Linked DNA regions of Kluyveromyces lactis. The protein of the gene in region 1 interacts with the protein of each later gene in a pairwise test. Links are inferred from orthologs where the notes say so. Each region holds a gene or a part of one and is shown on either strand. Other genes may lie near its edges.

What was found.
Region 2: the proteins of STE20 (region 1) and CDC24 interact in a two-hybrid assay, tested with the Saccharomyces cerevisiae proteins (3 studies listed by BioGRID, with this or other methods). The link is inferred for Kluyveromyces lactis from reciprocal best matches to the Saccharomyces cerevisiae genes STE20 and CDC24.

Annotation. Positions count from the first base shown.
Region 1 is NC_006038.1:1,183,830-1,196,079, forward strand, and holds STE20 (mitogen-activated protein kinase kinase kinase kinase STE20), read left to right. Parts: upstream 1-7,762; coding exon 7,763-10,732; downstream 10,733-12,250. Other genes in the region: SHU1 (Shu1p), read left to right, coding at 371-886; mRNA turnover protein MRT4, read right to left, coding at 980-1,696; putative ubiquitin-protein ligase UFD4, read left to right, coding at 2,598-7,001; MIF2 (Mif2p), read right to left, coding at 10,817-12,250. UniProt on the Saccharomyces cerevisiae protein: MAP4K component of the MAPK pathway required for the mating pheromone response, haploid invasive growth and diploid pseudohyphal development. Links the pheromone response G-protein beta gamma subunits to downstream signaling components.
Region 2 is NC_006039.1:1,090,539-1,107,428, reverse strand, and holds CDC24 (Rho family guanine nucleotide exchange factor CDC24), read right to left. Parts: upstream 8,799-16,890; coding exon 6,525-8,798; downstream 1-6,524. Other genes in the region: KLLA0_C13035g (uncharacterized protein), read left to right, coding at 1-990; GDS1 (Gds1p), read left to right, coding at 2,114-3,499; CIR2 (electron-transferring-flavoprotein dehydrogenase), read left to right, coding at 4,315-6,300; retrograde cargo receptor ERV46, read right to left, coding at 9,290-10,507; HRP1 (Hrp1p), read right to left, coding at 11,143-12,855; TRM11 (tRNA (guanine-N2-)-methyltransferase), read left to right, coding at 13,865-15,178; Rab family GTPase YPT11, read right to left, coding at 15,413-16,534. UniProt on the Saccharomyces cerevisiae protein: Promotes the exchange of CDC42-bound GDP by GTP. Controls the polarity of calmodulin, and the calcium regulatory process of bud emergence. CDC24 may be involved in the initial selection and organization of the budding site.

The DNA.
Region 1 (12,250 bases):
AAATGATACAGTTCTCACTATAAGGTGAAGGTAACACTCAAAATGTCGACTAAATCACTTCCTTTACCTTTTACCTTCTTCAAATCATCGTAATTTAATATACCAAACGCTACGATAACCAACTGTCCAATTCACCAATTCAATAAAATTTTCCAGATCATTGTATACGAGTTGATACTTTGATATATTCTCAGTAATTAAATATCACGTGTTTTATGTGGTCTAAGTATCAACATTTCAAACCGTCAAGGCTATTACGCATCTGAAACAATTAATGTACCGGCTTACAAGCGTGAAATTAATTTATTAGGATAAGGTATTTCCTAGTAGGATAGCATTGGTTAAGATTATTTTTCATCCTTATAAACCGATGGAAGATGTACTGCGTGATGTATTGGACCGTAACAAGAAAGTTCTAGTTATAGCAGTTGGCGTTAAGGCTCGAAGTTTCTTCGAGCAAGATCTACGGGAAAACAAGACGCATTTCTTTAACAGTATTGATGATATAGTCAGGGGACGATCCAACGTGCGGATTCTGTTCCTTGATAAATTACAGTATTTATATATGTACTTGACATATGTCGAGATTGAGCTCCAGAATAAAGGAAACACATCGATGTGCTATGAAGAAATTATCATCTACGGTTTAGAGTCCCTGTTAATGACGAAAGAACAATTGGAATCAGAAGAGACACAGAAAACTCTTGATCTGTCAATCTCCCAGCTGCGACATTGTAACCTCATCCTTCATGGATCGCTTCGACTGGAAAATCAGTACGCTGTGCGTATCAGAATGGTGTCAGCGACAGATCTGGGAATGATGTCTCAAGGTTGGAAGAATCTGACCGAATATTGGCAGTACGTGTATTCGATAAAGGATTCCTAGAGAAGAGATTAATGTACAAAGGAGAAATATATAGGTTATGATTATATATATATATTTATAGTTTATCACTGCAATGCTTTCTTATTTTTGGATTTATTTCGAATCCATGTTGATATTGATCTGTTCCACACTAGAAGTTTCGTTATCGTAGTATGCGGCAACCTTCACCCTGAATTCAGCAGCTGCTATACCAAATTGTTTCAAGATCAATGCTTGAGTAACATCTAGAGTTTTGCCCTTTTCACAGACCAAGTATGGAGATTCGATGGTAATCTTACCATTCTTAATTTTGGTTGGAATCTTGAACTTGTTTCTTAGAGTTGGTTCCAGAGAATGTATCATAGGCACATCTTCTTCTTCTGGGATTTGACCACCACGAGAGTATACAATACCGGCTGGAATGGTAAAAGACAATGGAGCCTTTGATTTTGGTCTGGAGAAATCAGCTCTCACATATGCCTTGAAGTAATCTTCCACTACATCGACAGGTTCGTTGGTAAATAATAGACCAGTAACACCAGAACAGTGCTTACATAGTTTGGCCAAGTTCTCCTTGTACTCTTCCTCTGGCTTTTCACCTAACGCTTTCACCAACACCTTCCTCTTACCCATGATTAACTTGGATCCAACCCAAGAACTTCTAATCTCTTGCAAAACTGGAGTTCTCACATCTTCCAAATGTAAAACCCAAGCGTATCTGAAAGAATCCAAGGCTTCTCTAACTTCATCGAATATCCTTTCCTTGTTCTCTCTACCCTTCTTATCGGTTTGGGCCAATGTAACCAACTTTGAACGCTTAGATCTTGGCATCGTATCTGGGTTGGTATATGTAGTAGCTTGATGATAAAGAGTAACGAAAAGTAAACAATTATCAGAACACTATTCAATTACAGAAGAGAGATAAATAAAGAGGAATACAACTGATAGAATATAGCGATTAGTACTGTTGATCAGTTTAAACTATGAAAGGTCCATCGAGTAGATGCGATGAGATGAGCTTTCTCAAACTGAAAAATTTGCGCCTTTCTTTTTCTTTCTAGTTGTGAGTCACGTGATTTGATTTTTCCAAACGGAAAGTAACGACCTCTGACACAAAGTGAATCGGTAAGACATATACCGGCTCTTTTGCAATGCTCTAGGGCCATTCTCATAAGCTCGGTTAGAGAGGTTTATTCTAAGGAACTGCAAAACCAAACTCCGGTATGAATTCCCTTGACTGATTTCTGAGTCTCTCACTCATTGCCAATGAGACAATAGATCTCAATTCAACACAAATATCAAGACTAGAAAGGCACAGATAGGGCATGATCGTGTATCGGGCAAGTAGATATAGTGGTAATGATTTAACCTATTACCGGAGATGTATTGTAAATGGGGAAGTAAACTTAGTCACGTGACTCATTACTTGTGGCGACGGGTATTGTGTATATTTTCCTCAGATAAAACCGCAGTGTACCGGACCAAAATGTACCTTAAAAGTTCAGAGTCAGGAAATTGCAATCTCAGTACATATTTAGCAGGAAACAAACTAGTTGGTTTGATATGAACAGCCGGCGAGTTAAACATACCTCTTGTATTGCTTGCCAAAGTCTAACAACCTCTAAGATACCAATTATTAAGGTGGTAAGAGATACCGGGTTGTGAACTAGAAATTTTAGATAGTAATTTTGCCTCTTATTTGTGATTTGAAACAGGAAAGGGTTTTGAAAAGATGAGTTATTACGATGGCGATGGCGACTATATCATATATGAAGATGCGAACGGTAGCCATGAAAGTGATGATGTTGAATCTGGCGAATATTCTTATCCAGAGGATGAAGATGATTTAGAGTTTGTCCATCACGATGATGATGATGATGAAGACGAAGACGGGGAAGAAGATGGATCGCAAGGAGAGCAGTTGGACGAAGATCAAGATGAAGATCAAGACGATGAGGAAGTAGAAGGTGAGATAGGGAATGTTTATCATGAAAGCCGTTCTGGGGACCGTGCGGACAGGATTTCGTTTCTACAAGATATTGTTTCTCGTCTAGCGGATCAAAGATCTGGTGAAAGTGGGGATGGTGATGTTGCTGAAGGCGAGGAAGCTGATTCGGAGCGTGCATTTGGACGTTCATTGCCAGATCTGTTGCAAGAACTAGGAAGGTCTGAAGGGTTTTTCGGTGTTAGCAGAGGAAATTCTCGGTATTTGAAATTGATTGAGAATGTGCTTCAAGCTGAAGACGATCCGTATATTGCTATGGAATCTCTCCGGGAATTATCTGAACAGCTATTGATGTTAAACCCTTTGATCGCTGATCGAATCATCCCATCTGGCAAGTTAATGGACGCTTTGATCCATGTATTGTCTAGCCCATTATTACAAGCAGAGTTGGAGTTACAATTAATTGCTTGTAGGTGTCTCTATAACTACTATGAGATGAACCCAGAAATGATAGAGGTTTCGGTTAATAGAGATATTATTGAGATATTGAGAGGGAAATTGAATGAGATAAGCTATATCGATTTGGCAGAACAAGTTTTGGAGTGTTTAGAGTTCATTTCAAGGGTACATGGATCTAAGATTTTAAGAAGCGGTACCCTTCTCTCTTGTTTGCAATATTTGGATTTCTTTACCGTCCATGCGCAGAAAAAATCATTATCTATCGTTGCGAACTCATGTGCTAGGGCTAAGGAAAGTGACTTCGAGGTGGTATCAGAGATTTTCCCCATCTTGAAATCTATCTTCCTAAATAGTACAAATCCAGTAATTTTGAAGCCAGTTCTCATAACACTTTACAGCATTTCAGGATCTTTGAACAAGAAATCATTATCTAAACTCTTTGACTTCGAGTTGGTTAAAAGGTTATTGTCGTTGTTATCTTCTTCAGAGATTGAACGTGAATCTGTTTTGAAAGTCTTGGATATTTCATCACTCTTGGTCTCCACCAATGTTGAATTGTCAAAACAAATCCTATTGGATTGTGAGTTGAACAAAGTTATTCAAAACGTTTTCCAGTCTTATAAGAAATCAGCATCTTCCACCTTCAGTGAAACTTTGATTTATGTTCCTAAAGAGCTTTTGTTGTCGGTAACAACTTTCCTCTTACTTTTGCTCCCAACTGAAGATTCTCAAATCTTGACAGCCGATGAGGTCAAAGTTTTCACATTTGACGGAAATGAGGATAAATTCCTTGAACTAGTCAATGAGTTGATTCCTTGTTTGGTGGAAATATATTCCAATACAGTGGATACTAAGATTAGATATACAGTTCTTGTTGCATTGGCTAGGGTGTTCACGTCTATACCTCATGGCTACGATATTCCTAGTTCGTCCGTTATTAACATAATATCCTCTGGTCTCATCAATGGTTCAAATGCGCAACAAGATCATATGAAGACTGAGACCAGTGCAGTACTAGTAGCACTGCTTTCGTTAATTTCTATCATGATGTCTAATAATCCGGATTTGTATCTACCGAAACTAAGAAAAGAAGGTATACCAGATGCTTTAACCTCTTTGAATTCTCACTACAGTTATGAGCTCAGCAAGAAAGATAGTATTGATAAACAGGAATCGTCATCAGATGAAGCCGAGAAGTCAGGATATCATATACGTCCGGAAAACTCTGATTCTCATCCTGTTTTTGGATCTGATTCTGACATTGAAGATGAAGATGATGATGAAGAAAAAGACAGTTACAGGATGGAGTACGACGACATGAACATACCTGAATTTGTCAAACCGAGAAAAATCCGCATTAATATCTACGATCATTTGACTCCTTATTACCTAATAAAACATGTTTCCATGTTTAGTGCTACACTACTAGAGTTGTTTTCATCTAACCAAGAAGAAGTCTCCAGCGAGCTTTCTGAAATTAATGCTGTTGTCACTAAGATGAAGGAACTGGATGTTCAATCTGATTCCGAACAATATTGGATGGATTTCTGGACTGCTGTAAAATCCTCATTATTTGATGATATGTCCAACATATCTGGCTTCGAGCTCATTTCCACTGGTCTCATTGATTCTATGGCTAATATCTTTGAAACTGATTCAACGAAACAATCATTCTCCAAGAGGACTTTTCTGAAAGTGTTCGAGGAAAAATTGCCTGAATTTGTGAAGCTACTACAAAATGCATTGTCTAGGACGGAAACCTTTGCCATCCTAGATGCTGGTGCCAGTAGCAACGATTCTCCAAGTGCCTCGTTAATCAAACAGATGAAAATAAGATTAGTTCATGAGCCGGCCGATGATGAAGTGGGAAAAGATACTGTTCCAGAAACTCTTCAAGATGTTGTAATTGCCGTGCATTGCGTTGCATCTTTGAAAACACTTGATGAATTCTTGAAACACAAGATTGTGCAATCGGAATTTTTGACTTCTATCATTCCGAGCATGAGTCGTGCTAATCAACAAGCCAACCCTACAAATGTTGCCAAAGAACTTGAAAACATACAATTTGACTTTTCGTTGAATGACCATCTTTTAGATCAATCGTCAACTATTTACTCTATTATATTCAAAGAGGCGATGAAAGAAGGGTTACCCACAACGAGTATCTGGACTAACGTACCTACTTTTAAGTTCAAGAAATCAGTAAAAAGAAGGGAGTCACATCAATTGCATGTGCTTTACCCCGATACAGCTTTTGAAGGGGCGGATTTGAAGCCTGTCAATGGTATTTTGACAGTTCTACAATGTTGCCAACATAAATCACTCCCAGCATCTATTTATGTGAATCCAAAGATTAGTGCTAAGCTTTCCCGTCAACTTGAAGAGCCACTTATTGTGGCATGTGGGGTCTTACCAAGTTGGGTCCTCGATATCACGAGAAAATATGGATTTTTGTTTCCATTTGAAACTAGAATGAACTTCTTACAGAATACATCATATGGATATGGCAGATTGATCCAATACTGGAGGGAAAAGCTGGCAGATCAGCACCATAGTAACCCTACTGAAAATCCATTGCATCAATTAGGCAGGTTGACTAGACACAAGTTGAGGGTTTCAAGAGACTCACTATTTTTGTCCGGCATCAAAATTCTAAAAAAGTATGGTTCTTCGCCAAACGTATTGGAGATCGAATACAAAGATGAAGAAGGTACAGGGTTAGGACCCACTCTCGAATTTTACTCTTTGATGTCGAAAGAATTTGCAAGGAAGTCTCTAAAAATGTGGAAGACCAATAGTGATACCAGTGATGATGAGGAGGAGTATGTGACAGGTGCATTGTTCCCTGGACCATTATTGGGCACCACCGAGGAGAATAACGAAAAGACTTTGAAATTATTCGAAAACTTGGGGACCTTAGTCGCTAGGTCAATGTTAGATAATAGGATTCTCGATTTTAGATTTAACGCTGTTTTCTTCGAGTTGATGCACAAATGCTGCAAGAATGATCGACTTGACCTAGAAGACTTCGAAACTTGTATCCACCTCGTAGGACAGTTTGATGTTCAACTAGGAAAATCACTCGCATTTTTGTATGATAATCGTCATGATGACTCTATCAAAAACCTTGACCTATATTTCATGCTGCCTGGTTATGATATAGAATTGTTGGAAGGTGGTTCGAAAATCTTAGTTGAATCTTTCAACGTGGAAGAGTACTTGATTCGTGTCTTTGACCAATTTTTGGGCAAAGGCGTAGATATGCAGCTCGCTGCCTTCAGGAACGGATTTTCGAAATCATTCCCTTATTCATCATTGCTAATCTTAACTCCGACAGAACTATCCGATTTGTTTGGTGCAGTTGCTGAAGATTGGTCTGTGCAAACGCTATACTCATCCATTCATGCAGACCATGGCTACTCGATGGATTCTCCAATCATAACAGACCTCATAGATATTTTGTCGAATTTTTCGACACAACAGAAACGTTTGTTCTTACAATTCATCACTGGCTCTCCGAAACTACCTCTTGGCGGTTTCAAAAACTTAAAACCCAAATTCACAGTAGTCCTGAAGCACCCAGATGGGAACATCTCGGCAGACCATTGCCTACCTAGCGTTATGACATGCGCCAATTACTTGAAACTACCAAAATACTCTGATAAACTGGTACTCAAAGATCGTATTGCACAAGCAATGACTGAAGGTTCCGGAGCCTTCCTATTGTCATAGAATATGTATATAACTACATAGAGATGTCTGTAGATCTAACCATACTCCACCCTAACTAAAGATTTCAATACCACATACTTTCGTGACATGTGACAGGATTTACTCTTTGGGATTGGCGAAAATGTTGAAACTGAAATTTAAAGCTTAAGAGTTTAAACAAACGGAATGTAAAGATCAGATGGTATGCATGTTTATAAGCAGATTAGAGAAACGAGCAAGCTCAATTGTTGCTTTAACTGTGGCTTGTGTTAGAACTAGGTTTTAAATTTTATTAATCAGGCTATCTCTGCCGATTTGACAAGTATTTCAGAGAGTAATACCAGGTAATACCATCTTCTTTTGGATCTTTTTAATAACAAGCACACATTATTTGTTTGTTTTGGCGAGAGTGTGATTTTAGCAATCAAAAGACGTTCGTTACACTGAATTACACAACAGGCTCTCGTTTTTAAGTTAGAAGGAGGTGAAGGTAGAAAGAATTTTACAGAGCACGTTTTGTCATTTCTTTCATTGTTTATCTGACTTGATCTTCTATTCTTTGAACAAAGTAATCTAGCTTTTTTTCTGACAGAAATTAACACGGCCACAGCAGGCTTTGTTACTGACGGTTGTATGCTCTAGAAATCATTACAGACCTGTTTGTGTTTTTCGGAATACCTTTCCTTTTTGTTCGGTCGATAGAATTAACCACAAGACATCTTTTGACACAGGCCTTTTTTTTTTGATAGAAGCTACTACACTCACTACTTTGTCTCCATATAATGACGGATACTGGATATACTGAAGAATTGTTACCAGGCACATTTGATGCGCTTTCCGTGAGAGAAAATGGTGGCAATACAGAAAGTGACACCAGTAGCATACGCAAAAGTCAAAATCAAGATTCAAAACAAGAGGATGTACATCGTGAAAATCTTTCAGTACAAACTCTAGAGGATCATACAGAAGTAACGGAGACTAGGGAACAATCTGTCTCAAAAGATCTCTTTGATTTACCTCGTGCACCAGCGAGTTTGGATGTGAAAGGATTACAAGAATCAGACGAAGATCATTACGTCAAAGACCTTTCAGATTATAAATCTATGGATCCAGGGAAACCGGGCACCGTACCAACAAATGTTTCGGAAATTTTTAATAGTAACCAGCCAACTTTGGATGAACCGATACAATTTACAAGAGTCTCTTCCAGTTCTGTGTTAAGTGAAAGTATATCGGAAGGTGATGCAGATTTAATATCGCATCTAGAAGGAAAAGTGGAAGAAGGAAATAATTTGACTTCGAAGGAGACGCCAGGGACAATTGAATCTATTGTTGGAGATAAGACGATGTCAACTATAGAAGGTTCCTCCCAAAATATAGGTAGAATATCTACTGGCGGGAGGATGACACCTGATCTCTCTCTTATGGGCGGGGCCCTGGAAACTTCTTCTGACTTCCTAAATTCCACACAAACCTCAAATTCTCCAAAGATTACAACACCTATAACTGAAGTTGATGCCAATGATGTATATGAGTCCCCGCTAAATGAGATATTATCATCTACAGATAGTTTCAACAAGGCATCGACAGCGTCTGCAGATCATTCGAAACACGTAAGTGTGCATGAAGTAATACCTGAAGAAGAACCACATCCAGAAACAACAAATGAGGATCCTCCAATTAAAACTCCCGTAATGGTGAATAACTTTTTCGAAAATCAAACACCAGTATCAGAATCAAGATCCCCCTTCAGAACCATTTCTTCTCCGTTTTCTTCTCTGAGGAAAAACGTTAAGAGTCAGCATGGGACGCCTGACCACTCCCAGAGGAATTCTAATTCCTCCACCTCCTCTAATGATGTTAAGAGGAAGACCGGTACTAAGAAGAAAGGTGTTTTCTCAACATTCGTTCAAAACATCAAGAGGAACTCACACTCAGAGAAAAGAATTTCTAGCGGAAGCGGTAATGGAAGTGGAAATAATGCATTTAAGATCTCTACTCCTTATAATGCTAAGCATGTTTATCATGTAGGTGTTGACTCCAAAACAGGGGAATATACAGGGTTACCAAATGAATGGGAGAAACTTTTAACTTCCAGTGGCATTAGTATGAAAGAACAACAGCAACATCCCCAGGCTGTGATGGATATTGTAAAATTCTACCAAGATGTTACTGAAAACTCTGGAGAAGAGAAAGTCTTCAAGACTTTCAAAGTAGGAGGTGGCTCTGGTGCAAACATTGCATCTACACCTTCTTTCAGAACCCCATCAACTGCATCAGTACAGAAGTTCGAAACTCCGCAAATGCAAACAGATGCAACTTTTCCGAATGAAAACAATGATACCCCATACTCTAGTAACTTACAGGGTCCGCTGCTCACTAACGATTTCAGTGAAACTGTGAACAACGAAAAGTTCATACCGACTCGGCCTGCTCCAAAACCTCAAGGTTCCTCCACAGTTAGCCGTAGGGTCGAAATCCCTTCACCAATCAATTCGCTTGGCCATGGAACACCAAAAGTGCAAAGAAGTGATACTCAGTCATCAAGCATTTTCTCATTCAAGAAGATGCCAACATTGAAAAGTGAGCAACCATTACCTCCTATTCCAAAGGCTGCAGAAAAACCAGCAAATTTATTGCCTGCAAGAGCGGCTCCTACTCCACCAAAACCTGCAATTCCTACAACACCGGAACAATCCTCAATACCTGCAATTCCTTCCGGGCTTGCTGTGGAAGTGAAAGAGGAATCGAATACTTCTAATGTCCAGACAAGAAAGGCCCAGGAAAAAAAGAGGGAAGAGAGGAAAAGAAAGAATCAACAAATTCAATCAAAATTAACCGAGATTTGCACAACAGGAGACCCAAGCAAACTGTACAAGAATCTGATCAAAATCGGACAAGGTGCATCAGGAGGAGTTTACACAGCGTATGAATTGGGCACAAATGCTTCAGTAGCAATAAAACAGATGAATTTGGAGAAACAACCCAAGAAAGAGTTAATTGTGAATGAAATTCTGGTCATGAAAGGAAGCAAACACAACAACATTGTTAATTTCATTGATTCATACCTATTTAGAGGTGATTTATGGGTTGTCATGGAATACATGGAAGGTGGTTCGTTGACTGATGTCGTTACGCACTGTATATTGACTGAAGGGCAAATCGGTGCCGTCTCTAGAGAAACACTCAAGGGTTTACAGTTTTTGCATTCAAAGGGAGTCATTCATAGAGATATTAAATCAGACAATATTTTGCTATCCATGAACGGAGACATCAAACTAACAGATTTCGGTTTTTGTGCTCAGATTAACGAGGTAAATTTGAAGAGAACGACGATGGTTGGTACTCCGTACTGGATGGCCCCAGAAGTCGTATCAAGAAAAGAATATGGACCAAAGGTTGATATTTGGTCTCTTGGTATTATGATCATTGAAATGATAGAAGGTGAACCACCATATCTGAATGAGACACCACTAAGAGCTCTATATTTGATCGCTACCAATGGTACGCCAAAGCTAAAGGATCCTGGAAATTTAAGTCATAAAATGGCTATGTTCTTAAATTGGTGTTTAATGGTTGATCCAGAGGACAGAGGAACCGCAGCAGATCTTCTTGAAGATCCATTTATCACTGAAATTGCGGAAGAGAACACCTCCCTTGCACCGTTGGTTAAACTGGCAAGGATGAAGAAACTAGCAGAAAGTATGGAAGATGATGAAAACGATGAAGACAAATACGATGAACAATCATAATCATTTCTGTTTTACGGCATTACATGAATTTAAAACTTTATTTTTTCTATATAGAATAGTTGTGTTATTAATATTTCATTCACATTAGGTAGATGTGAGACTCATATCGCTCGAAGATTTATTAGAAGACATCTCCGAATCTTCAAAAATGTCATCTGCACCATTAAAATCTTCAGGGACGGTTGTTTGAACGAAGAAAAGTTGCGCTTCTGTCATTCCTTTATTGAGAAAACCGTAAGTGTTGAACGCCGGTACTTGAAAAGAAGAACCCGTTGTACACACAAACTTGTTATCACCCACAGATATTTCAACAACACCTTTAACAACGAAAAAATTGATAAAAGCGTTATGTGAATCACTAGGGGTCTTTTCTCCATCGAGCGGAAGCTTAAGCATACCGCTGGCAAACCTTTCTTTGTGTTTATCGAATAAAATCGATAAAGTAAATTTATCCTGGTTTGTGCTTGTAACCTGTTCAGTTTGTGCTAACCCAGGAGCAAAAGCCAATATATTCTGTTCTTTCTTCTCATCAGCTGTAACATTGACCTTTGATTGAAGAATACCTTGTTTCAGCCATTCAGCATTTGGATAAGTTCCTTGCTGAATATCTTGAATAATTGGAGCGTTTGGATCGGTAATGTTCTGATCATCCACAGGCTTAATTTTCCGTGGTCGACCTCTAGGTTTACCGGACGGAATGTAGTTATACGGTCTTGTCTTGGTTTTCATTACCTGCTTTTTAGCACGTTTACTTTTCAGTAGTTGCTCCTCTTCTTCATCCTGATCATGATCATACGTGATAATTTTTTCAATCTCAAGGACAGGCTTCTCTGATTTTCTCTTGTACACGATCTTTTCATTTCTCCAGTACTCAAGCGGTGCAACTTTGACTCTATTCGATCTACGAATTCCGCCTTCCGTACTTGGACTTTCGTCTTTCAATAAATCTTTAGCTTGTGTCTGAATGTAATCTTCGTCGGAATCATACACGTCAGATGCAGATTCAATATCTCTTTTCTGTTTTCGTACGTCGCTCAATACAGCATCATCTTCTTCTGAATCGTAATCTGAGCTATCTTCTGAGCTATCCGAGCTAGCATCACGAAATCCTGATATTCCTTCCACGTAATCTCTATCTTCTTCCTCTTCACTCCCAGGCTGGAAATCATCGTCGAGTTCGTCTTCTAACAACGCGTTTTCTGATGTATTAAAAGATTCATCTCTGGTAGTGTCTGCATCGTTTATAAGATCGGGAACGTCTCTATAATCATCCAGTTCTCGCCTTACCGGAGTGAGCTGGACAGAAATATCCTCATCTTCTTCATTCTCGTCGGCTTCCGGTAACTGTCTCATAAATCGCCTTTCTCTCCTCGTAGGCTTTGGTGGAGTCCTGTAAGAATCGGGAAGTGGATCATTATCATCCATAATATCCCCTCCATCGGCATGAATATCTGGGAAATCATCAGTTTCATACCCTTGAGGCAGGCCCGAATCTCTCTTGTCGTATACGTCTGCGTT
Region 2 (16,890 bases), on another chromosome or scaffold:
TTTGAGGAAATGCAAGAAAATGATGACAGTGATGATGGAAATGAAGAGGGAAGTGCCGACGATTTAGCTGCTGTAAGGGAACTATATCAACCTCCGCTTGATAAGTTAGTAAACGAAATTCCAGAGCAATTACACTTCTTGAAGTTAGTGCCCCAACAAATAAACATATGGGTCGGATCTGCCAGTGAAAAGGATAGTGATCAAAGTTTTCTTGGCAATTTCGACCCGAACGATGAAAAATTAGGTCTTGGACGAAATATTCCAGGAGGTGGATCATCATCTGGACTTCATCATGATCATGCCGATAACATATATATTCCTGTAAGTGGCCGTAAAAGGTTTACCTTGTTTGCTCCGTCAGATGTCACTAAGATGTACACCGTTGGAGACGTAGCCAACTTATATGATACTGGGATCATTAATTACAAACGTAACGAAAATGCACCTACATGGGATAAGCTACGAGCCGACGGTGCTATTGAAACACAATATGCGCAGTATAAGCTTGATGATCCAAACATCCCAGAACCAGATAGAAAAGAGTACAATATGATACTAACTAATGAATCGGAAAATGACATCAAGAAGCCGACCGATAATCAATCGACATTAGACCCGCCTTCCTTTTCTACGATTCCACCAACCGTGGTTCATTTAGACAAGATAGAAGATCAAGAATTAAGAAACAATATTGAAGAACTTGCTAGGAAAAAATGGCCCAAATTTTTCACAGCTCATCGGACGACAATAGACTTGAAGCCTGGTGAAATGCTATTCCTTCCTACCGGATGGTTTCATGAAGTCACTTCTTTTGGGTCAACAGACGGTAATAAAGACAGCCATGATATTCATGTAGCTGTAAATTACTGGCTTATGCCACCAACTGGAAATTCCATTAACAACATGTATAAGGATGGCTACTGGAACAGTTACATGGACAGCATCTCGAATGCCTTGCAACGCGTAAGACAAAAATCGGACAGACTTTAAACAAGGCACGAAGCGGCACCCTCTTGTGACTGTTTTCCAGATAAGGAAATTTGTTCTTTTTGTTATCGAAATTCCTGCGAAAATCCCCAACTAAGATGACTCCATCGCATGTGATGTATGGGTGTTAACTTAAATCCTTCCTTGACTTGTTTCTATGAATAGTTAATATGCACGCATATGATGAATATCTAAGCAAACTTTAAGTAAGTACTGGTAAATTAAGATATCATGCACTCACTCAAGATAAATTGCTGCTGAATAGAAGGTCTTGTTTCCATATTATTTTCTGATCGGAACCCACGCAGAATCTCCTTTTTTTTTTTTTTTGACAATCTGAAAATCTAATCGTTCTCTGCGTAATTCGTCACTTATCCGATTTAAGTCATATTCAACTTGAGTGGAACTTCTTGCAATTCCACTCTTGCTAACTGATTATTGAAAACCCAAAGTGACAGTTATACAAACTAGTGAAAAAGCCGATCTTGTTGGAACGCATAGCTGCTAGCATCCTTCATAGTTCTGCCTTTTTTTTATCTCTATCTGTTTGAATCAGAAGTCCGTTAAGTTTTGAAAAAAAACCAAACCTTAACTTGACGGCCGTGGTGTCTTTTTGTTTCTGGATTATCTAGGAAATAACACTGGAGTCAGGATCATTTGACGGTTCCGTAAACCCATTTGTGTTTGATTTTAGCAATTCTTTTTTCTTACCAACTGTTCCTGTGTTGTGTCAGCGTCGTTTTTCCCCTCTGAAACGACATATTTTTATTGAGAAAATATATCTATTGATACAGGCTCAAGAAGTAGGTTGGAATAGCTGCCAATACATTTATCATACTGGTAAGTGCAGTTTATACAAGAATTCCTTCATAATTTCCCTGTTTTGGTGTCTAAGAGATTTTAATTAATTATTCTGGGCCCTTTTATCTTTTTTTTTATCGAAACATCACCAAGGTACTGATTCACAACAGCAATATTTTATTTCATTTTTTTCTCAGACCTTACATTGTTAAGTTGAAGTGTTCTTTTCTTTGAAAGTTCTTTAACAATATCTATATTTTTTCCAACCGTCAATATTTTTAACTCAGTTGCAAAAAATATCCTTCATTAATTTATCTTTTTCAAGATGGCCTTGGCAAATTCCAGACCATTGGATATTCCTACACTGGACGATGAACTTATTGCAAATTCAAAGTCGCCATTGTTTGATGCAAGCACTTTAGCTAACAGTGCCAAAGCTTTTCCAGAGTCTGAGTCTGACAAAACCAAGCCTAGTGGGAAGCATGATTCGAAAGCGAAAAAGAACTCTAATGGATCACTTGCTTCTTCTCAGTTAACCGATGTCGTCTCCATTTCGAAAACGATTCCAGTGACAGGAGAAAGACCGAAACCAGAAAACAATGGCCCCACCTTAAATGAAGATGATGTGTTGTACGCAATTTTTGTCATTTTATGGGAAAGCGATCCAGGCCAACAAGGTATGACTGTCAAACAGTTATGTGATTTATTATTGGAAAAGCACCCTGAAATGAACAATTTGTCAACAAAACTCTCTAACTTGATATCTGCAAAACTGAATGCGTATGTCAAAAAAGTTGAGAAGGGTGAAAAGGGCCTTTCTTATGCTCTTTCTCGTGAATGGTCTGATGCATCTCCCAGAAGAATGGTGTACATCTATCGCGGTATTCTCGCACCTGACTATCAAAAACACGCTCAAGCTGCAGCTGCAGCTTTAGCTGCAGCTTCAACTCAGTTATCTGATAATGGTTCAAACCCAATGGGAAAGAACAAGACAAAATCTAAGAAGCAATTGGCTAAGAGCACCTCAGACTTAGGAATGGAAATTGACGGATCACAGAGTACAGATTACAAGGATGGGGCAATCCCTAGAAGTTCAAGTGCTATGAGTGGTCTCAAATCATCTACTTTCTCTGCGGGCAATTTTGTTAATGATTTCAACATCCCTTATATGTCCTCACCAGTATCAGTTAGCTTAACACCAAAATTGGAAGAGCTGTCTTTGTCTCATGTGTCTAATGATCTCGACATAGATTCTCATATCACCCTGACAGGTAAGAGATTGTCTATGGGCCAAGATCGTCCTGGCAAAAAGATGAAAATGGAGCAAGTTTCAAACTCTCTAGAGTTACAAGCGGGTCAAGTTCAACAACAACAACCTGTATACATAACAATTGCTAGTTCTACTCCAAGACTTTCAAGGAATTCATCTAAACACCACGATTCAAACAATACTGCGACAAGTTCCGAGACTGCGCAGACCGTTGCAGAAATTCTCAAAACTGTAGTAACGCAGAATCCTATTGTTATAACTCCAAGGTCTTCGAAGGCTTCGTCACCACTTGCTTCCGCGGCAAGCAGCCAAGACTATACGAAACATACAAAGGAAAAAAGCTGCCAATGGTTACGCTCTTTGAGAGATGGCTTTTTGCTGGAGGAAATTCCAACCCCAGAATCTCTCTCTCCTGATGAGCTTGATGAATTTTTCACATAACGTATTATCTGTTCATTTTCCCCCTTTTTTATGTTAGAGAGGCTATATTATAATGTCAACTTCTATCCCGGTGAACCTGACTCTCTTACCAGCTTCGAATCGGATTCATCGGTCTTTCAGGTCCAATCTGATTCGTATATCCTGTATTATTATCAAACTTCTTTTTTGCAACTATTCTTTGCTATACTGTGAACGTAGAAATTCATCTACCGCTGCCAGTATTTTGCATCTTATTAGTCACCATCTATTTCCCACATTCATGTCATGTTACGTTATTCTCTAGGTCATACGTTGCTTTATTTGTAGTTAAGTATGACTATAGATTGGTATTTTTATTATTTTCATACATATGTATGTATTAAAGCAATCCGGTTTTATCATTATCTTTGCTTTCACAACTGTTGTTAGCCGCAAAGTTTACATATCCCTTAAAAATCATACATTGGGAAGGATGCCAAGTGTTACAACAACCTCAGTGCAGCTTCTCCACAGGTACTTCATAGCATGATTAACCTGTATTCCGTTACTGATGTAGCAAAAATTACGACATCTTTATTAGAAATACTTGAAAAAATATCAAAAAATTAAATATTTCAGTTTTCATATTAGAAAATCAGAGTCATTGAAAAATTTGGCGATATGATTATATATTCTGATATCGTATTTAACAGAAGAGCTCATCGTCATATGATGGTTTTTGAAAGGTAAGAAGCGACCCAAAAATTAATTGAAGAAGGACTTAAAAAAAAACAGGGTACGACCATCGACGGATTTACGGAAACATTCAAGTGTTCTGTAGTCTTTCATCAGTTATAATGTTATACAGACAGGTTTTGAAAAGGCCGGCCACGGTGCAAAAGTACGTCAGTCCAGTCGTCTCTAATGGACTTGTCAGATACTTTGCATCTACTCCCCAGAAGCTACAATTGCACTTGCAATATTTCGGTAACAGTGCGAAGCGGTTGCATGTTATAACTCGATCATTTTCAACTACTTCTCGTAAATGGCAGTCTGTAGAGATACCATTTCAGAAAATGACAGAGGACCAGCAAGAGGCTTTGACAACTGAAAGACCAGTAGATAAGGTAGATTTATGCATTGTAGGTGGTGGGCCGGCAGGGTTAGCTGCTGCCATTAAGTTCAAACAACTAGACAATGAACATGGTAACGGAGAATTGCGTGTTGTCGTCTTAGAGAAGGCTCCGGATATGGGCTCACACATTGTTTCCGGTGTTATCTTAGAACCAAGGGCATTAAGGGAGTTGTTTCCTGAAAGCGAATATTACGACGAGGATGGTAATGGGATTCCTCTTCCTCCAGAGCTAGTTACCAAGGTAGAACAGGAGGAGCTGAAATATTTGGTCGGGAATATCGCGTTACCGGTCCCAGAGCCTCCACAGATGATGAACATAAACAAGAACTACATAGCATCTTTATCACAAGTGGTTAGGTACTTGGCAGAACAAGCCGAAGAGTTAGGAGTTGAAGTATTTCCTGGTATCTCTGTCTCCGAGGTGATTTATGGTGACGATGGTGAATCCGTTATCGGTGTTGCAACTAAAGATATGGGTATATCGAAGACCGGTGAACCCAAGGAAACATTCGAAAGAGGAATGGAATTCCATGCTAGACAAACGATGTTTGCCGAAGGTTGCCACGGTTCCTTGTCAAAAGAACTAATAAAGAAGTTCAAGTTAAGACATGAAAGAGACAATCAAACATACGGTTTAGGAATCAAAGAAGTGTGGGAAGTAAAACCTGAAAACTTCAATAAGGGCTTTGTTGCACATACTATGGGATATCCTTTAACTAATGACGTGTATGGAGGTGGCTTTCTGTACCACTTTGGTGAGGGTTTAGTAACAGTAGGTTTAGTCGTGGGTTTAGATTACAAGAATCCATACGTGTCACCATACCAGGAATTCCAAAAAATGAAACTGCATCCTTATTACAAAAAAATCCTTTCTGGAGGTACCTGCATAGGTTATGCAGCTAGAGCTCTAAATGAAGGTGGTCTCCAATCAGTTCCTAAATTGAACTTCCCTGGTGGATGTTTGATCGGTGCTTCAGCAGGTTTCATGAACGTTCCTAAAATCAAAGGTACACATACTGCAATGAAGAGTGGTATGCTAGCAGCAGAAAAGTCCTTCGAAGAGATCATAAAGTTGCCAACCTTGGAAGAATTAGAAGCGAGTGAAACTGAAAAACTTGTCGCACATCCAATTAACCTAGAGTCTTACGAGACCGCATTCAAAGAGTCATGGATATATGAAGAGCTTTATGAAGTGCGTAATATTAGGCCTTCATTCGGAGCAACACCACTAGGGGGTTTCGGTGGTATGGCATACTCAGGTGTTGATTCTTACATACTCAAAGGCAGAGTTCCATGGACGTTCCATCACCATGCATCAGATGCTGCTATAACAGCATCTGCAGATAAATACAAACCCATAGATTATCCAAAACCCGATGGAAAGATTACCTTTGATATCTTAACATCAGTATCAAGAACTGGAACGTATCACGATGATGACGAAAAATGCCATTTAAGAGTCCCTGAGCAAGATATGGAAAAACATACTAGTATTGCGTATCCAAAATGGAAGGGAATCGAATCAAGATTTTGTCCAGCTGGTGTTTATGAGTATGTTGAAGACGAAACCTCCCCATTGGGTGTGAAATTCCAGATTAACTCACAAAATTGTATTCATTGTAAAACCTGTGACATCAAGGTTCCAACTCAGGACATTAATTGGGAAGTTCCTGAGGGAGGTGATGGTCCAAAGTACACACTTACCTGAGTTTGTTAAATTAGTCAGAGTAAAATTTGGCCTGAAATATTTATTTATCTAATATAATTTATTTATTCATATCTGTAAAATATGATTTTCATTAATAACTGAACTTATATTAAATCAACCAAGTGAACCTGTCAAACTGGAATTGTCTTCATTTACCTTTGAAAAACGCCAAAAAGTGAAATCTATGTATAATACAATCAAAGGTAAAATATTATTAATATGTCTCAGTTTGTATAAGCCCAAACGTTCAATAGTCTTTCATTACTCTCTTTCAGCATATCTTTTACAACATACCAATCATCATCACTTTCCAACATCACAAAATCACCATCTTCATCCTGGTATTTTACCTTCGTGATTACTCCTAAATGTGCCAATTTCCTTTTAATCGCAAGCAACAGATCTTCCGCAGAACAGTCTAAGGATACTAAGACTGTGTAAAAATCGTTGTTGAATGAGACCCTCAGTAGAAGCATAGTGTCAGGGATTGAATTTTTGTAACTTTCGGATATAGATCTGTATTCGCTTGCAAATGACTGACGGGCATTGGACATATGGCTTTTGGGAAGGACTTCTGAGATTTGTCTGGTCAGAGTGCTACCAATGGAGGCAACACTGTTGTGAGAATATTGGACTGGTGAGGAGAATGACGACATATCGCTATTCGTATTGACACTTTTATAGGACTCGCTGCGAATTTGACGAAGAAGCTGATGAAGGCAGCTTTCCCAGTTGTTGCGGGTTTCTTCATTTTTGAATTTTAGTATGAAGTTCCCCTTTTCCTTGGCTGATTCCCAAATAATGTTCAGGGAATAGTTATCAATCGGAGCGACTTGAGTCAGGTTAACTATCATAATTCGACCTCTTAAATCCAGTTTCCCAGTGTTCTTCGTGAAATCATTCATGTTAGTGTTCGAAGAGTTTGAAAGATGAAGAACAGATGATGAATTCGATTTCTTTTTTAAACTTATTGAGCTTCCTTTCTTCTGGCTTACCTCACTGAATAATAGTATGATTTTTTCGAATAGATACACTTCAAAATCTTTTTCTGGCTCATTGGAATTGCTCGTTGATATTGATATTCTATCAAAGTACAATAACTCACCAAACTTAGCGATGCGGTAACCCTTCCAATTTACCACACGACCATAGAGACGTTTGACAACCTCGTAATTTTCTGTTCTCCTTTGATTTTCGTTAATATTCCTTGCAATGGATTTGGCAATACCCAAGGCAATCTCCAATTCTTTAGAATCACTTTCTGCGTGTTGTAAAAGATCTTTGAGAAGTAATGGGTATCTACACAATCTTTGGACTGGTTTGAGAAGGAATGATTGCAGTTCCATTTTATTACCGATGACAAAATTAGTGCTATTTGGGTTCATTTTGTTGAAACTAGACGAAATGAAATCAATCGCTGCATTTTGACCTATGGACCAAGGTTCATATAGCTTGAAGAAATATTTGGAATGCATGAATAAGGCCCCGATTCTTTGTTTTTGAGATGGAACTTGACCGTTGACTTCTAATGACACTAAAAACCGTCTTTGGAAATCGATTATGTCATTCAAATTGGGGAACAGCATGTACAGTTCTTCCGAGTTGATAATTTGGTTGTCTAAAAGTTGCTTCCTATACTTATTCAGAACTTCTAGATCATGCACGTACTTTCTCTCAGTCTCGATGAATTCTTTGACAATTTTATCATATTCTGTCTGTGGTTTCGCAAGACGTTGAGATTCCAACTGTGTGCTCATATCAATTTGTGGGAATACTTCAGGTGCAGCATTCAGCAACGTATTCACAACGTCCAAAACTTTCAAGAAATGATCTGTCGAATTTGAAAAAACGTCAGAAATGGTGAACAGTTCTTCGTCATTAAATGCAAAATGTTGTTTCAGACCAAGAATGAAGTCGTAGATAGATTTTTTACAAATCTTAATATCATCTGACGAGACCACCGTTAGCTTAGATTGAGGTCTTACGGCATTGAATATAATACAAAGTGGCGAACCCTGTTGAAATAGTTTAGAAAGTTGCGTTACAGGGTCACAATCGACAGATATAGGCGTAATACCAACAGAAAAAGTCAGTAAAGTGTCCTCCATATTAAAGGACTGAGAATGCTCAGAGTCCTCTCCAAAACTCGTAGCCGAGAAACTAGAGTCCCTATGAAGAGTACTTGAGGAGGAAAGTCTACCATTTGTACTTTGTGCACTACTACCTTCGTAATGCGAACCTCGCTGCCGATGTTGCTGCTGTGACTGCTGTTTCTGCGATAAAAGCAGGGCTTGGTGTTCTGCTAGAATCTCTGAACTCGAATGCGCTAAATTCAAATATGGTTGGAGCTGTGGCAGAAACTCTAATCTCTTCTTGATCATTAAACACATATGATATAATGACTCCTGTGCTGTCACCTTTTTGTTCATTAATAAATGTGTGCTATTTGAACGCACACTCGTCAGCGAAACATTGGATACTGATGGATTTACCGCCATTATGGCAGGCTGCAACTAAAACAGAATTATTCTCTGACACTCCTAGATAGTAAAAACCTTGTTTGTACAGCTCTGGAAGACTTACAACGATAAGAATTATTTTAACTTCACTTCGAAGACACTGGCTGTTTCGTTAATTTCAGTATTGTTTTATTCTATTCTTTTTTTTTTTTTCTTTCAAGAGTAATGTCAATACTGAGATCTCTGGGTCAAAACCTTTGGGGCCCGAAAACATTGTTGTGGATCAAATTCTGGAGGTTCTTTTTATATAGGAGATACTTCTCAGTGGTATTTAAGAGTATAACACCAATTAGCGGCACTTGCCAGGTGTCGTGTAATAATCCTACATATCTGGCATTGAATATTGATATACGCTAGAGTTTCGTTCTATAACTGGAAAATAAGAATTACAAGTGTCAAACTCACACATAACTTCTATATATGTACTTTTATAGAACAGTAGTACAATTTCTCTTTCTATCTATCTTTGCTTAAGAGCTCTTCTTACCCCAAATAGATTTTTGTGCTCTGTATGTGATTTTGTCAATGACAGTACCAACTGCCAAGACACCACCAATACTTGTGATACAATTCAAAAGGAAACCAGACCATGATGTTGCATGCTGTTCTTTATTTATGACTTTTAAAGGCGACATCTCAAAATTGAAGAAAACACCTGGGACACCTCCTTTAGAATGAACAGTGTTTGGATGGTCTTCGTCCCTGCCCCCTCTTAGAGGCCTATCGTGGTACGTGGCGCTGAATTGAGTAGTTTCAACTTTTTTACCATCTAAGAATTCGAATCTGGTAGGAATGATCTTGCAGAAGTATGAGAACTCATGGAAGTGTGTGTCGCGGTCTGGGAACACTTGGCGGCTGTCTAATGGTGAAATTGAAGCAGAACCGATCAATTCGCTGTCTCCATCCTTGGGTTTCTCTCCAAACGTCAAGGTGTTGATTATATGGTTGAAGTTCAAATGTGGGTATGCATCGTATAGCGAAGTGTCGTGGAAATGGCCACGGATATTACGCATTGAACTACCTGGACCGAAGTGGATGGTACCTTGTATTCTGTTTAATTGAGCACGTCCTTGAACACGACAACCTTCATGTATTCTGGCATTGATGCTCTCAACATATCCTTCACGTTCACATTGTTCCACACCTTTACCATCCTTGAATGCCCATCCTTTTTGTCCGTAGGCTGCACGCACATCGTCACAAGTTTGACAGCATACTTTTTGATCTTGTGGTAGCTCGTCATTCTTTGATTGGTCTAATGCACCATAACATGGTCCACAGTATCCTTCTTCGTTGAAGCTTTGCTTTGATGATTTGTCACCAACTTGGAACTTCTCCTTAGAGAGTTCCTTCCCTTCTGGGCTAATTCTGATCTTCGTGAATCCCGAATCTAATAGGTTAATCTGAAATTCCCCAGAATCGTCTAATATATCTAGATTTAATACGTTACATGGCATCGAAGGAAATGTCACATCCAAGTTGAGATCCAACTTCAAATGACGGTCTCTATCAACCACGAGATCAGGTCTAGTGACAATAGTGCTGAATTGCTTCCATTCGCTCACCAATAACAACATCGTTATAATGATACATGACACCGTGATTAATCCACCTGTTCGTGTACGGACACGGACATCCTCCTCTGTTTTACCAAAAGCATCGATGGAAAGTAACGGCGATTTCTTCATCTTGACAAATTTGTGTAGACAGATACTTGCGTTAGCGAATTCTCCGTGAGTAGTGTAGTATTTCCGTATCCTAAACCTATTCTATTCCTATGAGCATGTGTAATTGTGAATGCTAGTATATGTCAAATTGGAATTGATTTTGATATTTTTTCACTTTTGCCTATATTCAAAATCAGATTGAGAAGCAACCTAACCTGTACCAAATATACATGAATACTGACAACTGTATATACACACACTGACCATTCGGTGTGAGGTCCAATGTCAGGTTGAATAGTAGTTGATAAACTGTAAGTTTGATTGATATATACTGATTTACATGTTATTATATAAAATTAAGCTTTGATTAGCAATAAAAGTTGAATAAAATTGCGTTGATGCTTCGTGTTAACGTTCATGAATCAGGTAAACAGAGTATGGTAAAATATTGTGTGACATTTGCAGCAAGGAATGTGATTTGATCCGATGCTTAGGAATCATTGCTTTCATTATATTTCTATTATTACATGGTTATGAGAGGCTCAGTTAAAGAAATGGATGGATCGCAAATATAACAAGTAACACAAAGTATCCTCTTGCTCGCGGCTACATACGCAGATTTCTTTACCTTATAATAAATCTAACATACAAGCAGATTACCTGGCGTATGGGTGGTATCCACGTCTATCTCTGCTTCCACCGCCATACCCATTACCACCACGGCGGGAATCACGATCACGGCCACCACCTCCGCGATAGTTTGAAGATGGGCCACGACAGCTGTCACGGTCGCGGTTAGACGAGCCATAACTGCTACGATCAGAGTTGCGATCGTATGCTCTGTGTCCTGAACGACGAGAATCATCACGGCTTGATGAATTATCGTATCTTGAGTCATCTCCAGATTCTACTCCACTGTTACTACGGTTGCCATTATTTGAGCTCCCAATAGTAGTGACACCATTACTGTCGTCGTTGTGTTGAGGGGTGGATGAATGGCTTGGTGGAGATCCTGCACCACTTTGAGAAGGTTGTTGGCCTGCAGGAAGACCGCCCATCATACCCATCATCTGTTGCATTTGTTGCATTTGCTGTTGGAACATTTGAGTATAATCGATACCAGTTTGTTGTTGCATTTGTTGATAATACTCTTGCATCTTAGTGTAGTATTCGTTCATCGATTGAGGGTTGAAACCAGTGGCCATCATAGGATTGAAACCGCCTGCCATCATTGGATTTTGGAACATCTGATACTGTTGCATTGGGTTGCTCATATTTTGTCCCATTGGTTGAGTCATTTGAGGTTGTTTTTGCTTTTGTAATTGTCTAGGTTCAGCTCTCTTGATTTCTATTTGTTTACCCTTGAACTCAATAAATTTGTTTTGACAAACTCTGTCAACTGCATCTGGTGTATCATAAGTAATGAAACCAAAGCCTCTAGATCTACCAGTATCTTTGTCTAACATTAGTTGGGCATCAATGATGGATCCCCATTGAGAGAAAAATTCTTCAAATTCTTTTGGTCTGACGTCTGGACCAATACCACCAACGAAAATTTTACCAGTCTTATCTTGTTCTTCCCTTGGAATGGCTCTCTTTGGATCGATAACCTTACCGTCTAAGATATGTTGTGTTTTAACGACTTCATCGACACTAGAAGCGTTTTCAAATGTCAAGAACCCAAAACCTCTGGACCTACCGGTAGCAGTGTCCTTCATAATCTTAACTTCAGCGACTGCACCGTATTTGCTGAAGTAATCACGTAAACCCTCTTCGGTGGTTTCCCAATTTAGACCACCAATGAACATCTTGTTAATGTCACGAGACAAATCAGCTTTGATAGCCTTTGGTTCATGCTGAGATGCAGTTTGTTGCAATTGAGACATAGTCTGTTGCAATTGTTGCAACTGTGACATATCTGGCATACCTGGCATCTGTGGCATTTGAGGCATCTGCAGCATTTCAGGAACGGAAGCACTGTAGTTTTCCTTGTTATTGTTTTCAGCCTTGTCATTATTGGATGCAAGATTAGAATCTGGTTGATTATTTGAAGAGGCAACCTGCTGTTGCAGTTGTGACAGGTTAGATGACAAAGCCTGTAAAGCTGCTAGTTGATCTAATTGAGATGTTGCCGCGGTGGTGTTTGTGCTACTACTATTAGCCTCTTTATTGGTAGTTGAAGCTTGATCTTTGTGATCATCTGTCGAGCTATTACTAACGTTATTTTGATTATTATTACTTTGAGTATTATTTTGATTATCTGTAGATGTTGCAGTTGATGAAGTCGACTCGTTATTGTTCACCGTGGTTTGAGCGGTATTTTCATCACCGTAGATGTCGTTAAAATCTTCATCGTCTGATAAACTCATCTTGAATGCAATATTTCAATTTCTTCTTATTCGTCTACTTGTTGCACCGTTCACTTTACCACTTGGATTTTCTTAGTTCTGTACACTAAATATGATAAATCTGCAGTAAACGTTTGTAAATATAAGTACGATAACGCTGTGTAAGTTTCCTGCGCCGTTCCTCTTCCGCTCTACTTAAATGATCCTTGTTCTTTTTGTCTGTATGGGGATTTTATAGCTTAAACACAGCAACACACAGCAAAGTTTAATGTTATACGTTAAAAGTAGTAGTAGACGATAATAAAGTAATAACTGAGATCTAATACAGTACGAAAATAAAACAAATATGAGCTATTTCCGGTAACAATGGTTCCTCTCTCCTAGTTTGCAATTTCTAAAACTCTATTGAAAACAATCGGTATCTTATAAATGAAAAGAAAAAGAAAAAATACAGTGTAAATATTCTTTGTTCCGTTGATTATTTCGATTCGCTAATGATATACGGGTACTTCTATACTTTTGAATCCTATATCCTTCCCTAACTCGTTTTAGTGACTTGATTATCTCTTTAGACTGTCTAATCACCTGGAAAGTGGTAAACAAACAGGAAGAAACATTCTGCCCCTTCAATTTTTCTCCTGTACTGCTTTTATATTCAAATTAATTTTTTTTTTTTTCCAATGGCAACAACTTGGCCCCAAAAATTATTCGCTGTTCTTAGTGAAAAATTCATGCTTTAGGGCCTTTTTGGTTGTCATTTTGTCGATTTCGCCTTGCAAAAAAAGAAACTTTTTGACAACTCGTCCCAAAACTGCGCCCAAACAATCAGAAACACCGGGTAATGAAATCCTATATACCTTTCTTTACTCATTCAACGCCGACTTCAGCTAAACATGCAGAGAAAGCGAAATATCGAGATGAGCTGCGATGAGATGAGATCCTCTTTAATCGAAAGTGCGACTTCTCAGTTAATCACTTTTCGTACTTCCGGATTTAGAATTAATACAAACGCCAGTTATAACCATCATCTATGGCTAGGAAGCGGTATCTTTTGTTTATGGTGCAGGTGCACTTAAATTTCCGTCTAGCAGAATTGGAATCACTAGCGGATCTGCATGGAGTTGATGTCGACTTTTCGAGTTATTCTGTCGATTCACCATTCATGATAGTTACCTTGGAAAATGATAAGCAAGCCAGTGATTGGATTAGGAGATCGGTGCTTACAAGAGCCATTTATGAGTACTGGGGTGAAGGTAATACTTATGAGTCGTTGCACAAGAGTGTCCAAGCTCATCCCGAGTTTGAACAGTATAAGAGCGCAAATGAAAGAAAGAGTTTCAAGTTTGAATTTGAAAAGTTTGGTGGTAACGCGAAACAGGATATTTCTACGAGAGTGACAACCATTGAATCTTTCCAGTACCTTGAGTTGAAGGGACCCATCAAAATGAAAAATCCGGATGAAGTTTTTACGGTTATTGAAGAATACAAAGCTATCAGCGAAAATATCGGGGGTGAGGTTCCAGAAAAGATCTATTTCGGAAGGTTAATTCAACTAAGCGATCGTGCACGGGGTGCACTAGAGAAGTATGACTTGAAAAAGAGACCTTACAAAGGAACCACATCATTTGAAGCTGAATTATCACTGGTAAGTGCAAATATTGCACAGGTAAAACCAGCACATATAATGTATGATCCATTCGTTGGTACTGGTTCATTCCTGGTGGCTGGTGGCCATTATGGTGCTCTTGTCTTAGGGTCTGATATTGATGGTAGGATGATCAGAGGGAAGGGACAACAAACTATCAAGGCAAATTTCAAGTATTATAAAGAGTCTATCCAATTCCTGGACGTCATGACAATGGATTTTACGCATAATGCATTGAGAAAGGACTTTGTCATTGATACGATCCTTTGTGATCCTCCATACGGTATTAGAGAATCGATTAAAGTTCTTGGAGCAAAGGATCCGGAGAGATTTGCTGGGAAAGAGGATGTGGAAATTAACGGTCAAAAAGCTTATCTACTTAGAGACTATATTCCAACTAAAAAACCGTACTCTTTAGATTCCCTATTAGACGATTTGTTGGATTACGCAAGTCAAAGACTCCCCATTAATGGTAGATTGGCTTTCTGGATGCCCACTGCCAATGACGAGAATGTTGCAACTATAATTCCTCTTCATTCGAATTTGGAACTGAAGTATAACTGTGTTCAAGATTTCAATAAATGGTCTAGAAGATTATTGGTGTATATCAATAGAGGACACGAATTTAATGGACCCAACAATTCTGGTTTGAGTAGAACTGGTAATTTCAGAGATAGATACTTCAGCGGGTTCAATTGATATTATTGGACCTGATATAAGGCTAATAATAGACATCTGCTCACTCTAGCATTACACTATAATATGTATCATTAGTTAAAATACAAATTAATATTTATAAAATCGATATTATTACATTTATTATACACAAAGTTACAATGACTGACAATATTATACAATATTATACATATTCCTTGCATATCATCTTCCACTGCCAATACTTGGTATCATGACGCTATAACTTGAAATTCATTACTAAGTGCAGCAGGAACTCGTGGAGCCTGGGTTTGAACCATCGTCGTTTTGGTTATTCAATGGTTTATTCAAATCCACAGTTTTGGATTTATTCTTCATTAATCTCTGTCGCACGCCACGGGGAGTGCCTGGAATATCCTCCAAACTACTTTCACTATCTTCTGATTGGTCTGATGAAATTACTCTAAGCTCTCTGTCATCCTCATAACACCCGCTTTCTACCAAATCTTTAATAATAATATTGAATGTCCTTTCTACCACATTCTCCCATTTACAACTAACTTCAAAGTTACCTGATATTTTTATATTATAATCTTTCTCAATCCTGGAAATGAACTGAAGTACGTCTTCATGCGTAACTTTCCTTTCCTTATATAAATCGAGTTTGTTCCCCACTAGATAAAACCGTGTCATGCTCAAATTAGGAATATTCTCAATGGATTCAACCAACCAGAAGTTCAAGCAATTCAGGAAACTATTGAAGTCACATATATCATAACTTAAAATCACTCCATTAGATCCTTTATATAATGAAGAAATCATAGCATTCCTATATCTCTCTTGTCCAGCAGTGTCCCACATAATAACTCTGAAAAATCTATTGTCTATATTCACCAAATTTGTCTTTATATCTATCCCAATGGTCGAAGTAGTATTAATCTCAAAATCAGAATCATCAGCCATCGGGGAATTTTCGAAATCATTCAAAGAGTACCTCTTCCGTTTGGCAATACTCTTAACCCTATTTAGTTCAGATTTCGAGAAGCCATTACTTCCTGCAGGAGAGTTGTCGATATTTTTTTTGAAAGCTTTTGTACTTATCCTAGGTAGTTCATTGCAATATGATAATATCATTGCCGTTTTTCCCACTCCGGCGTCACCTATAAGTAATAGCTTGATATTAGATGAATCTGTCAAAGAATCGAAGGAAATATTTCTAGCATCATTGGGATTGATCCTTAGAAAGGAATGTCTAGATTGCTGTCCGGTAGGATTTCCATTGCTCAACCCCAGTCCCACAGAAGCCGTTGGTGGTGCTGAAGAGAAAAACCTTGGTTCTTCGGGAATTGTCGGTGATGAAGGCGCACTGATTATTAGAGAGCGACGTTTACGAGAAGTCATTACTTATACACTCATAAATGCAAAAAAAAAAAACACAAAACACAAACACACGCCAACTTCTACTGAGTGAATATTAGACTCTTCTTATGCAACGTATTCCTGGTAACTAACTCCAGGTGTCGTAATTTACTTCGAATTTGAAACACACAGGACCCTAAACACCAACACTATTAATCAAATAAGATAGGAAGAGAGGATTGGATGGACAATCGATATAAGCCTTCGTTCAATTATTAACTCAGTTCCATACACCAACGAACAATACCCTTCAAACCCTTGGTGAACCATGAGTTTACCGATAAGAAAGGAGATTCGTTCCCAATCCTGGTTCTTTGTATGTTAGCTAACGGCCTTTC